Linked DNA regions of Coturnix japonica. The protein of the gene in region 2 interacts with the protein of the main gene of each other region in a biochemical or structural test. Links are inferred from orthologs where the notes say so. Each region holds a gene or a part of one and is shown on either strand. Other genes may lie near its edges.

Evidence for each region.
Region 1: of the proteins of CDKN1B (region 2) and RNF6, one has a biochemical effect on the other in vitro, tested with the Homo sapiens proteins (2 studies listed by BioGRID, with this or other methods). The link is inferred for Coturnix japonica from reciprocal best matches to the Homo sapiens genes CDKN1B and RNF6.
Region 3: the proteins of CDKN1B (region 2) and CUL1 form a complex in vitro, tested with the Homo sapiens proteins (2 studies listed by BioGRID, with this or other methods). The link is inferred for Coturnix japonica from reciprocal best matches to the Homo sapiens genes CDKN1B and CUL1.

The regions. Positions count from the first base shown.
Region 1 is NC_029516.1:158,057,867-158,062,014, reverse strand, and holds the start of RNF6 (E3 ubiquitin-protein ligase RNF6), read right to left. Parts: upstream 2,807-4,148; 5' UTR 2,630-2,806; coding exon 2,574-2,629; intron 2,531-2,573; exon of another isoform or gene 763-2,530; coding exon of another isoform or gene 736-762; exon of another isoform or gene 1-735. UniProt on the Homo sapiens protein: E3 ubiquitin-protein ligase mediating 'Lys-48'-linked polyubiquitination of LIMK1 and its subsequent targeting to the proteasome for degradation. Negatively regulates axonal outgrowth through regulation of the LIMK1 turnover.
Region 2 is NC_029516.1:66,307,644-66,311,659, reverse strand, and holds the start of CDKN1B (cyclin-dependent kinase inhibitor 1B), read right to left. Parts: upstream 2,801-4,016; 5' UTR 2,276-2,800; coding exon 1,801-2,275; intron 1,395-1,800; coding exon 1,273-1,394; 3' UTR 1,264-1,272; intron 450-1,263; 3' UTR 1-449. UniProt on the Homo sapiens protein: Important regulator of cell cycle progression. Inhibits the kinase activity of CDK2 bound to cyclin A, but has little inhibitory activity on CDK2 bound to SPDYA. Involved in G1 arrest. Potent inhibitor of cyclin E- and cyclin A-CDK2 complexes.
Region 3 is NC_029517.1:75,356,526-75,360,611, forward strand, and holds the start of CUL1 (cullin-1), read left to right. Parts: upstream 1-1,280; 5' UTR 1,281-1,421; intron 1,422-1,427; exon of another isoform or gene 1,428-1,688; intron 1,689-4,086. UniProt on the Homo sapiens protein: Core component of multiple cullin-RING-based SCF (SKP1-CUL1-F-box protein) E3 ubiquitin-protein ligase complexes, which mediate the ubiquitination of proteins involved in cell cycle progression, signal transduction and transcription.

The DNA of each region.
Region 1 (4,148 bases), about 92 Mb from region 2:
GAAGCTAAATATCACTGAAAGCATTGTTCTGTAATTACCCAGTGTAGACTTCCAAAAAAAAACCAAACCAGTTACTGCTTTGGAGGACTCTTGAAATGTTTACTGATAAGCACATTACAGCATTATCTCTGTCCTTACTACCACTCCCATAGCACAAAGCCTACAGATATATTTTTGGTAGAAGTTACCCTTTTGACTTTCTGACACAACTTTGACGTTTTCCTTGCAATCTCTAGTCCAAGCATTAGCTAACAAAGGAATGAATTGCCCTGTTCTTGGCCATACCTGTTCTTCAATACTCAGTTTTAAAGAAGAGAAAGCAGGGAGTCATCCTTTCAATGGGGCTTCACATTTAACAAAAGCCATCTGTAATACTTGCTGTGGTAGACAACTGACAGAACAGATCACTTCTCTAATGAGATTACCAGGAATCGCCATGCAGCACTAGCACTCTGTTTAATCGTGGAGAAGAAGTTATTGGGTAAATACTTCTTTATGAGGGGTCAATTCACCAGCATGTCAATCTCTTCAAGTGTTAAACGGGAAAACACAGAACAGCATTCTCAGCACACTCCCACTAAGTAATTAGTCTTCACAGACAAGTTCACAAGCCAACAAGCAAACCAAATCAACATACATTCATTAAAGAGTAAATCTTAATCACTGCTGCCAACAGATACGAAGAATCAGGAAATGTATTTGCCAACAGCAGACGCTGGCATACATTTAATATACCTTGCTTATGTTCTCTGTGGGATCCATTCTGATGCATCCTTGGTCTCCTCATTTTCCACCCCATCTGCCACTTTTCCCCCTTCACCATAAGTAACTGCACTTCCAACTATGCCAGTCAATCTTGTCATACATCTGTCTCCTGCATCCAGTGCTGCATTTGGATGTACGTAATGCTTCCCTCCTAGCTGTTAAACCCATTTAACTTAAACTACATGAAATCTGGGTACCCCCTCTCAAGACATTTTCTGTTCCCATCATGTTTGCAGGGTCTGTTAATTTACTGTTACCCTCTGTGCTCAGCCTCACAATCTGCTGTTAAATACTGGCTCTTGTTTACCACAATGGCTATGCTCAAATCAGGTCACTTCTCCCAGCACATTTCTAAACACCAATTTCTCAGCCAGCTCTTTATCTCACTACTCTGCCTTCCCCCAAACAAAATCCCTCCTCTGCTCAACATGTGGTTATAGCACTATTGCTATCCTGACAGCACCAGCGCTTGACTGCCATCAAGAAAATGCTTAATCCATACCACAGTAAGTATTAAAGTGCCTCTGCCTCCAGCTGACTTAATACTTGAGATAAGTAGCACATGGAAGATGACAGATATAGTTTATTTAGTTTCACGTAATGCTGCTACTGAGAGGAAAACCTAACAGTAAGTGTTAGTGCCTGCCCTACAGCTCCCATACCTTAACTGACTTCCTGCCTATAGCACCAGGCTGCTGCAGAGAAACTCACACGTAGGTTCCTGAGATGAGAAGCCCATCGCATGTAGACTCCCTCAACCTAAACTTAAACTGCTGGGTGAAAGAGGGATTCTCTGCTCTTCCTCCTGCATTCATGCAAAATCTGGAACTCTACTACCCACAAAAACTGAAGTAAACTCTGTTTTGTTGACAATGGGACGGCAGGGTGATTACTCACACTCCTTAAGCGACTCACTTAGAAACCACAAGAAGCGTGAAGCCTTTGGCTGTCCCACCTGCTTAACATAACTGCAAGGATGACAGCTACTAGCCATGTTTGTTATCAGACACCACCAAAATGAAATACTTTGGCCTTTAAAATATTTCAAGGAGTTGAAAATTTAAGGCTCTTTACTAAGAAATCAAAATGTAAAACCCATTTAGAGCTCTGGATTACTCTTGCACTGCAAAGAAACAGGTGCCACATACCAGAAACTCGCATTTTCCAGCCCAAGACTAACTCCTTTCCTTCTTTATTCACATCTATTCTGGCCCATTCTCCACTATTGATGATGTTTCTAACCAAGCCACACATACGACACGCTTTTAGGCTCTGGCCCCTCTCCAAGGCTCCCTGCCCCCCATGCCATGAGGTATGCGCTTTCCGAACGCCTACCACCTGACTGCAAGACGACAACTGAGTTTAGATGAGGAAACCTCGCGGACCACGAGACCACTTAAGATTTCCGTCACATCTCATCTCAGCCTCCGGGCGAGATGATCTCACCCAACTTGAAGGGAAAGAAAAAAAAAGAAAGAGGGAGAGAAACCGCCAGTCCGTGCGTGAGGGAGGGAGGGGGAAGCGAAGGCAGACAAAGGAAGCGTCGCACGGCGATCAGAATCCCGCGGCCTTCCCCGCTTCCACGGGCAGCGGCGGCTCCGCAGCCCTCTCTCCGGCCCGGGCGCCACGCGAGGCGCGGAGCAGCGGCACCTCCGGGCCGGCCCCGTCCCGTGCCCGCAGCCGGATCGGGGGAGGCCGGGGGCGGTGACCGACACCTCTCCCGTCCAACCACCCGGCCGGCCAGACGGGACGAGGTAGGCCGCGTCCCCCCGCCTCCTCACGCTCCCCCGGCCGGGCCCCGCACTAACCGCCACCGGCCGGATCGCCGCCTCCAGCGCCGCCCGCGCCCCCGGGGCAGCGGCATCACCCGCGGCGCGGAGCCGGGGAGTTGTCCATGCCGCCGTCCGGCCGCGGGGCGGCCCGACACGAAGAGGGGCCGGGGAGCCCCGGGAGCCCCGCTCCGCCTGCAGCCCGCGGGACGGCCCGGCTCCCGGCCCCGCTCCGCTCTGCTCTCCCCTTCCCTCCCGGCGGCGGGAGCGGAAAGACACCGACCCCTGGCCGAGAGAGCGGGCGTTCCAACCCCGATTGCGGTCCGGGCGGCTGCAGGGAGCCGAGAGAGCGAGTTCCGAGCGCGGCCCTCCGCCCAGCGCCGCCCCCTCCCGGGCATGCGCAGCCAGACAGAGGCCAACGGCCGGGACAGCGATGGTGTGACTAACACAGGGGGGATTTCAGCACGCATCCCTCTGAGCGCTGCAATATCGGGCTGTTGTGATGCTCAGCGCTACTCTGTGCTACTAGGTTTACTCACTAAGTCCAACCCTTGTTATTCACGTTCCTCATCACACCACGAATAATCAGTTATTCAAAGCTGCAGTGTGCTTTGGCTTCCTTTGTCTGATATTTGTCTCTTTTAATACCAAAATAACAGTAGGAACTCTTTAACGTTGTTATTATAGCGCTGCAGAAGCATCTTTCCCAAGCACACGGTACTTGTAGGACGATAATAGTAGCAGCCTGTAGAGGGCAGCAAACCTCAGCAAACTGATTTTAAGTTTCTTAAAGTGAGCTCTATAAACCCGGTTCATTCAATCGTTCAGTCGTTTAATTTCTTTAGAGCTTATTTATGCTGTTACGTGTTGGGTTCTGGGGTAGGTTATTTCCTTGCACTTGGTGTTTCGTTGCTTCACACAATGTCTGTGGGGACGCTGCGTGCTAACACAGCTCTCCAGACCCAGCTCCAAACTATGGCTGTATGTTGGTTGATAAACACAAACGCTCTCAGAACGTTCCAGAAAACGCTGTTCTCCTTTCAGAACGCTGGAGCTGGCTGTCGCACGGCACTACAGCTCCCAGCACATCGCGGCCCCGCTCCGCAAGGCACGCCGGGGCTGGAGAAGGCGGGGTCGTGCTGGGGCTTGCGACGCTTGTTTGCAGCAGTGCGGCCAGGCGCGGCCGCCGTATTCCGAGCGCAGCCCGGCTGTTGTGCCGCGAGCCGGCGGGAGGGAGCGGAGCGGCCGGGGACGGGGCGCGGAGGGAAGGAGCGAGCAGCTCCGCCGCCGCCGCCCGGCCCTGCATGCTCCGCGGGGCGGCACGGGGGCCTCATCCTCGTCCTCCTCATCCTCCTGTTGCCGCTGCCCGGGGGTGGCGGGGCGGGGTGCGCGGCTGCCGAGAGGCGTCGCGGGTCGGCGAAGATGGACTATGACTTCAAGGTGAAACTGACCGGCGAGCGGGAGCGGGTCGAGGACCTGTTCGAGTACGAGGGCTGCAAGGTGGGCAGAGGCACCTACGGGCACGTCTACAAGGCCCGCCGCAAGGACGGGTGAGTGAGGAGCGGGGCTCCATTCTGACTTCCCCTGTCCCGGCCTCGTCCCTCTCGGCCCCTG
Region 2 (4,016 bases):
GTAAAGGGACAATACATCTTTAAGGAATAAAAAGCCTACACTGCTTCTCTTCATTTCTTTGCTTGCTAGATGGCGAAAGCAAGTCTCCATCGGTCGCCCTCTTCCACTCCCCCCCCCCTTCCCAAAACGTTTATGTGCTACATAAGGTAAAAACTATATACACAGGTAGTACAATGAAGCAAATAAGGAAACACCTAATTGCACAATGCTACATCCGATGCTTTTAGAGGCAGGTCTTTTTTTAAGAGTGTCTAAACTTTTAGTGTTATTGTCTGCTTTTTTTTGTTTGTTTTGCTGAAGTTGTTTTTCAGTGCTTGCACAGGGTCCCCATCCCATGGAGACCGACGATATGTATTCATCTCTACTACGACTTTTTTTTTGTTTGTTTGTTTGTTTATCTTCCTGGCTTCACCGCCCCCCGATGAGCAAGGAAACACGAGTCCTCCGCCCTGCAACGGGAAGAAGACGGGGAGAAGACATTAGAGAGGCTGAAAGCGACGCGCTCCCTTCAACGGGCTCGTACCGCTCCCCGCAGCAGGGAAGGCCCGGCCCGGTCACGGCCCGTGCGTCGTCCCAGCCCCGCGGCACTCTAAGCCCGGCCGCCCCAGGGCCGTCGGCCGCCTCCGCTCGGAGCCCGTGGGGCCGGGCCGCCACCGGGCCGCGGAGCTGCCCCCGCCCCGAAGGAGCGGGCGGTGGTGCGCTATTTGCATAGAGGCGAGGGCTGACGCCTAACCCTAACCCCCCCACCCCCCACAGCAGGAGTAATTTGTTGCAACTTCTGCTTTGCAGCTTAATCTCTTCGGCACAATCGCGAACCGCGTTCGCAAACCTTCCCGCTAAACCCCGGCCCCGAAACCGCCGGCGCGATGTACCACCTCCCTCCGCCCCAGCCCTCGCGCTGAAACAAAACAACAACAAGAACACCACACACGGCTGCCATTAACCCGCTCCCTTCCCTGGAAACTCAGCCAGCGCCTGAAACTAAAACCACAACGACCGGGGAGGAGAAAAATAAAAAAAAAAAGAGAAAAACAACACAAAACCGGAGCACAAGCTCTCCTCTCTCAGCCCAAGAGGCTCCCGCTCAGCCCCGCTTTTATCCAGAGCCCTCCTGGGCCGGAGCTCCCTGCCACGGTGGGACAGTGCGAACGGCGCCGAGGCGGGGCAGCCCCCCAGCACCACGACGCCGCGTGAAGCCCGGTCCCGAGCTCGGGGCGGACACCCCCGAGGCATCCTAATGCCCAGAGCCCGAAGGGAACCTACTCGGGGAGTTTACGTTTGATGTCGTCTCGGGCTCGATTTCTTGGGCGTTTGCTCCACTGAACTGGCACTGGGGGAGTCTTCTGAAACCTCCTCTTCTGTTGTGTTGGCTCTTTTATTTTGAGGAGAGGAATCTAGGAGGGGAAAATTAAAAAACAGGGGGGGGGGAGAAGACCGGTTTAAAACGCTGTCCCGCAAGGTGCTCGCTCGGCACCCGGGGGCGGGAGGAGAGACGGGGCCGGGGCTTATTCCCGCACGTCCCCGCATCCCTACGTCAGCTACCGGGCTACGCGAAGGTGGGCGCGGACGGGCTTTTCTCTGGGCAAAGAGACGCGCGTTTTAGTTTCGCCCCGACTCCGGCGCTCGGAGCGTCCCCTCTTCTCCTCCGCAGAGGGGCTGCCCGAGGGGCGCCACTCGGTCCCGCCGCTCACCCGCGGTCCCCGCCGAGCGCGGAGCTCCGGGCGCTCGCGGGCGGCACCGGGGGCGTTCGGGCGGGAGGAGGCGGGGGCCGGGCCCGGCGCTGCCCGCGGGGTACGTTACCGTCGGCGGCGGGTCTTTTCCTCTGCCCGGCGCACTGCTCTGCAAAGTCCGTCTGACCGCCAGCAACACTGGTCTTCCCGCCTGCACAGTGGGTATCCTCTGAGATTCCCTGAGAAGAGGCGCAAATTGCTGTTTGGCAATTCTTGTTTTCATCCAGGCTCTGACAGACGATGGACTTGCATATGGCTTTGGGTAGCCTCAGTGGTCTGAAGGACAAGTCGGGCGAGCTCCCCTTCTCCACGGCTTGCCACTCGTACCTGCCTTCCAGCGGCTTGTGGTTCTGGAAATCGAAATTCCACTTCCTCTGGCATGCCTCTTCCATTTCCTTGCGGTGCTTCTTCAAGTCCCTGTTTAACTCTTCGTGGTTTATCGGCCCGAAGAGGTTCCTGCAGGCCGACGGCTTCGGGTACTCCGACTGTCGCGCCTCCATGCGCTCCAGGGTAGGGCTCCCATTAGAAATGCGGACGTTTGACATCTCCCCCTCCCTTTCTGCCGTCGCCGATGGCGCTGGGCTTTCTCGCGGCTCTCCCCGCTCTTCCTCTCCGCTCCTTACCCGCGGCCGCTCGCAGGTTCTCCTCCGCGGTCTGTCTCCGTACGGCCCCCTCTCTGCGGCCCCGCCTCGGCCCGCGGAGGAGAGGCGGCGGCGCGCAATTGCATAAGCGCCGGGCCGGCCGAACCCCGACAGCCGCCGCCGCCGGGCAGCCCGGGCGGCTCCGGAGGGGAGCGGCCGAGCGGGGAGCGGCGCTGCCCTCCGCGGCCCCGGGGGCGGCCTCGCGCTGCCGTCGGCACGGCCCCACCGCTGCCCGCACGGCCCCGCCGCTCTCCCCACGGCCACGTCGTACGGGCGGAGAGGGAAAAAAAACAAGGCGAGACGAGCCCTTTTCTCAGTTGCCCAATATGGCGATTGAAGGGAGGTTGACGAAGGAGAAAATGATTGACAGGACGAGTCTATTTAAACAGCGGAGCCGAGCCATTGGTTACGGCGGCCGGCACCGCCCCGTCGGCACGGCCATACCTCGCCGCCGCCGCCGGCTCTAAAGGTGGCCCTGGCCGCCGGCCGCCCCTCGGCGGGCGGGCAGAGCGTGGGGGGCACGGCACGGCTCCGCTCCGCGCACGTGAGCCCGCCTCCCCCTGCGGAACATAAGCCTGGTGAAAGTCACGCGAGTCGAGGGGACTAGCTGCATTTTGACTCGTTGTGGCTATCGCTCTGCTTGCACAGGGTTGGGCGGGCTGGGAGCTGCGCTCCGGCTGAGGCGGGGGAGAGGGTCACTGCCCAGCATCCTCGTAGTGCTGCCCGCAGGAGGAAAGGGAGAAAGCGAGGGGTGGCTTCTGCTGCACTGCCGGCAAGGAGGGCCCAGGTGTGGAAGGAGCTGTAAGAATTCTCAGCAGGGAGCTGTATTCTCAGTAAGCAGGGGAAAGAGAATGAAAACCTTCAAGTTTGTGTGTTTTGAAAGGTTAGTTGAGCCAGGAGTCATGGGCAGGGATTTTTGAGCTGTTTTTCTGATTGCTGCAGCAGGTCCGCTGGAGTTAAGAGCAGTGCAGGGTTCTCCTCTGGGCTCTCCTTGTTCACACTCACTCACACTACAGTCAGCATCTCTTGCTCAGCAGGACAGCCCCACACACTGCAGGATCTTTTCAGACACTGGAGGTTTGGGACTTCCCCAGGGCCCAGGTAACCTGGATACTACAGACCCCACATACCAAAGTGTCTGGCCTGGCACCCTCCACAAAGTCCAGCTGTCCAAAATCTTGTGGCCTTAAAGCTTTGGAGCTTTTGCCCCATCTGTACTCAGACACACACTTTGCTTCAGGCCTTGCAGTTGCAGTGGGCCACCAAAACCTACCCTGTAGTTGGTGCGTTTTGAACTGGAGCCTCACCTGTGCAGGCACTGGAAAGGGAACAAGATCAGCATTTAATGCTTATCCCCAGAGTATGGTTGTCTGTGGGCCTCCTTCCCTAAGGCAGCAGCCCCCTGCCTTGCTCAGCCTTCTGTCCTGGGTCAGCCTCTTGTCAGCACCGAGTTCAAAAAGGGATGTGAGCATCCAAAGAGAAAAATAAAAACACTTAAAAAACACAAGGTTGAAATAAAATGTCAGCCCTGCTATTTTTGTTTGCCAGAACTTTTACCACAAGTTGTTTTCCAGCTCCTTTCAGCAACCACAGGATCTACCCATTCACAGAGACTTGAAGCTGACATCCTGATGTCTGCATCTTT
Region 3 (4,086 bases), on a different chromosome or scaffold from region 2:
CTGGATGATCTTTTAGGTGTTTTCCAACCTTGGCGATTCTATGATTCTAAGGCCAGTTTTTGAAAATGGTGTGAAGCTGCTGGAGCCAGCATGCAAGTGAAACATTTTGGAGAACAAAGAAATCTTTTGTTTCTCTCTGTTGCTTCCCCATTTCTCTCTTCATAAGGAGCTAGTGCTCCTTATGGGCAGAATTCTTCATAAAAAACTTTTCTGGGCAGAATTCTTCATAAAAAACTTTTTTAATGATTCCATGCAAGTTGCTTTAAGTATCTTTTGGTATAATTCAGACCAGCATTTGACTTCATCTTGGCAAGGAAAGTCCCCATAGTTTGGGAGGATACAGTACAGAGAGCCATGATGAAGCAAAATACAGAGGATACATTAATCCCACCCTCCTCCTTTACATCACAGTACCATGAATGTTTATTCCTGAGGACTGCGGAATTATAAGGCAGGACAGAGTCCAAAGCATTACTTTTCCAAAACCTTGATTTCAATAACTTGGCTTAATTTTGGCATGATTTTGCATTATCCATCCCATGCTTTTGAAAATTAACTGCCCCTCTTGTAATCCATGTGACAATGATACAAAAACTAGCAGTTTTTATTTTATCTTGCATTAAATTCATATACATTTGTTCAAAGATCACAAACATCATTATTTAGTTCATGATCTATTTCTCTATCAGACCTTCAAGCATCTCCCCGTCAGCTCACAAACTGAATGATTAAACTTTTCTTTCAAAGAATTTCTACCCTATTCTCTCCGCAATGTTGTTTTCTGAGTTGTTTTTTTGTTTTTCATGAAATTCACAATAACATTACAATTTCTAATTATATTTAGGTCATTGTGACCATTTCTCTTTAACTGCCATTTTTCAATTCAGTGTTTACTCGAAACTAGTGACTCTTGATGCCGTTCAGATGAGAGCAGTTTAATTTGGTAATGTCAGATGGGGATTTTCTTCAGTGTTCATTGTAACTTTAACACTGGATACCACGTAATTCAGTGGCCTAGGACAAGCTAAGAATTAGTATCTAATAAATAAAAAAGCATTTGCGATTTCATCATGAGCAGATACAAGTCTTAGCATTTCAGACTGGAAAATGAGTGCACCTGATGGCTCTAGAAGCGGCCTAACTCTGGGGGGCCAAGCAGGATGACCCTTTAGGGCAGTAAAACGTACAGGCCAGAAGACTCGGACCATCAACGCGACCCTGTTGAACGACTGCGCCGTTGTCATTTCCGGCTGCACACACACCTGCCTTTGTCATTTCCGCCGGGGCAGCCGGAGAAGGCAGGCTTGTGGAGAGCAGCACAACCAAAGGGCAACTCCTCCCCGCGCGGGCGCCGTGGCTGCCGGTTATTTTTAGTTCCGGACTCGAGGCTCAAACTACGCTGATCTCTTCCGGTGGCTTAGGTGGGGAGAGGTTCTGCTGCGCTGTCTTTGCTAGCCCTTTGCCCGCCTTTAGGGAGAGGAGAGGAGGCGGCAGCGGGCTGGGTAGACTTCGCGTCTACCCACGGGTTGGGTCCTCTCCACGCCGTGGGTCGCTCCGAGCCAAGCTAAGGGGGGCGGTGCCTTCTCGCTTTCTGAGCCGTGCTGAGGGGAGGCGGTGGCGGATCTGGGCTCGGCGGTAGCGGAAGGGGCGGGCGGACGCGGCCTGACTCTGCGGGACGTGCGATACTGGTGAGTGCGGGAGGCCGCGGTGCTGTGTCGCAGCCAGGCCAGCAACGCAGCCGGGCCGGGTGGGGAAGCTCAGCTGGGCCAAGGCGACAAGGGCTTAACGAAGCGTGGCCCGGCTTTGAGTCATACAGCGAGGAGCGCGGGAGCAGGAGGGGCTGGGCCTGGCCGACCTGCCCGCCCGCCTTTCTTCTACCGGGCGTACACCGCGTTCCAGAGACAGCGGGAGTCGTTGTCTGACGGGTTCGGAGCTCCGGCCTCGAAGTTGCGGGCCGGTGCGGGAGGCCTCTAACTACGCACTGGAATTACATCACCCCGCCGGACCGCGAGGGCCCGCGCTGCCGGCAACCCTCGCCTCACAGATCTGCCTGTTGTCTGCCCTGCCCGCTCCCCTATCGAGGTCGGCCCGACCTCCCTCCCGCCTCCCAGCCCTTCCCGGCACGTGGCCTGGACCGCCACGGTCGTTGCTTTAGACTTACATCTCTCAGATCCTGACCCTTCGGGCCCTTCTTTCCAGAGCCCTACACCTCTTCTGCCTTCTCACTGGCCCTAGGACTGTATGCCCAGGCCGTGTTCATTCTAGGCCTCATCTATTCTATCCTGAGGCCTCTGGAGCTTTTCCCGTAGCTTGTCTCATCACCAGTGTTAGTTTTTTGTCTGTCTTCACTTCTCTTTTCTCCTTTATTCTTCACGTGGTTACCTTTCATTCTGTTGTTTCCATCTCAAAACTAGTAGCACTCAGATCTATATAGGACCCGTGTGGTTGTAGCCAAATTTCTCTTGTGTACCCACCCAACCCCTTACTGTCATCTCTAAAGTATTTATTTCCATTGTTGTTATCTTCCTCAGCTTTATCAAGGACTGTGCCCCAGGTTTTCCCTTGTAGCTCCCTAATGTTGTGTTCCCAGGGAGAGTTTCCCAACCCTCCTCCCTTTCTCACCCCTCTCTCCCCCCCCAAATAACCTCTTACCTGTTTGTTTGTTCATGTATTTATTGCCGCCATCCAGATGGCAAGTCTTGCAGTTGTTTGTCATTGCAGCTAATCACCTCCTTTGTCTCCCAGTAACTTTGTCTGCCACTGAAAGCTGTGTCCTTATTGTGATCCTTTTCCAATCCTTATTTCCTTTTCAGCCCTATTTCTTAATCATCACCATTCCCTTATCACCTTTCCTGTTTCAGCTTTCTTCCTCCCATATTTCCTTCACCGTGATTTTTTTTTTTCCCCTTCCCTTTTGATCTTACTTTCTTGTCTTAAAAATCTTCTTTGTCATCTCACCTCTTTTTCCTTTGGCATATTCCTTTCCTTTCTAGGCTCACTTGCTGTCCCCTGCACTTTAAGTCCTCCAGCTGTGCCTTTGACAAGAGAGGAATGTGAGCTTAATTCATCTTCAAGAGTTAGGCGATTATAGATTATTTACTTGTTTCACCTTACTTTGTTTTCATTTGTTTGTTACTGACTTCCTTAATAGCCTTTTGTCAATAAATGCTTTCATATATCATCACTTTAATACATACCTAATGCAATGCTAGTCTAGAAAAAAAAAATCCGTCTTAGGACCATCCTCTTAGTCCTGCCAAATGGTTTTCATGGGGAGCAGAAATAACTGGTGGCTGTGTAACTTAAATTATGCTAAATACCGTTCGTTATGCTGAATTGTTGTAATACTTTAAGTTGGTACTTATGAGATACAGGGTGTGTTAAGAATACATTTGCTTTGAGGAATTAGTAAAGTACGTCTTCAGTACCATGGTACATGGTTTTTGCTCCAGATATGCTGGTAGTGAGCTGCTGCAGTACTGTCATTCGATGGTAAGGAGTGTGTTGCATTGGCACTTGGTATCTGCTGGCAACTGCTGTAAAGTAGTCTTTCCCTGTGCTTTGTGATTTTTCTTGTTTCTTAGGAGTTGTTACCAGATTTCTTATTTTATGTCTGTCTTACTTGGTTTGGCTCTTAAGATTATGAGATGTAACCAATCTTACTGTTGTGATGTATTTGAGGTATGATTTAAACACGAAAGACTGCTGTCCTGTGGCAGTGTAGGGAATACAATGAATCTAGAGAGCAATTTCTGTACTTAACTTTAGAATCCTAGTTTGTTGTCTAATTTTGACAACTTGATCTTGTTTTCTCAACTGAATATATGCAACCTAGTAACTTCACAACAACTCGGAACAACTGAACTGGGCTTCTGAGCTGAATTACCCCTCTGGAGGAAACTTTTTCATTTGTCTATTCTATACTGAGAATAGTTTATAGTTTAGGCATCTGGATTAGATGTACACATTTCACTGCTTGAGTGACAAATTGATTGTGCTGGCTCAACTAAGTTATCCTCCTTTCACTTCTTCACTGCATGAGAAAATTTCATTGCATCTCTATAAAGCATGGAAATTAATTTAAGC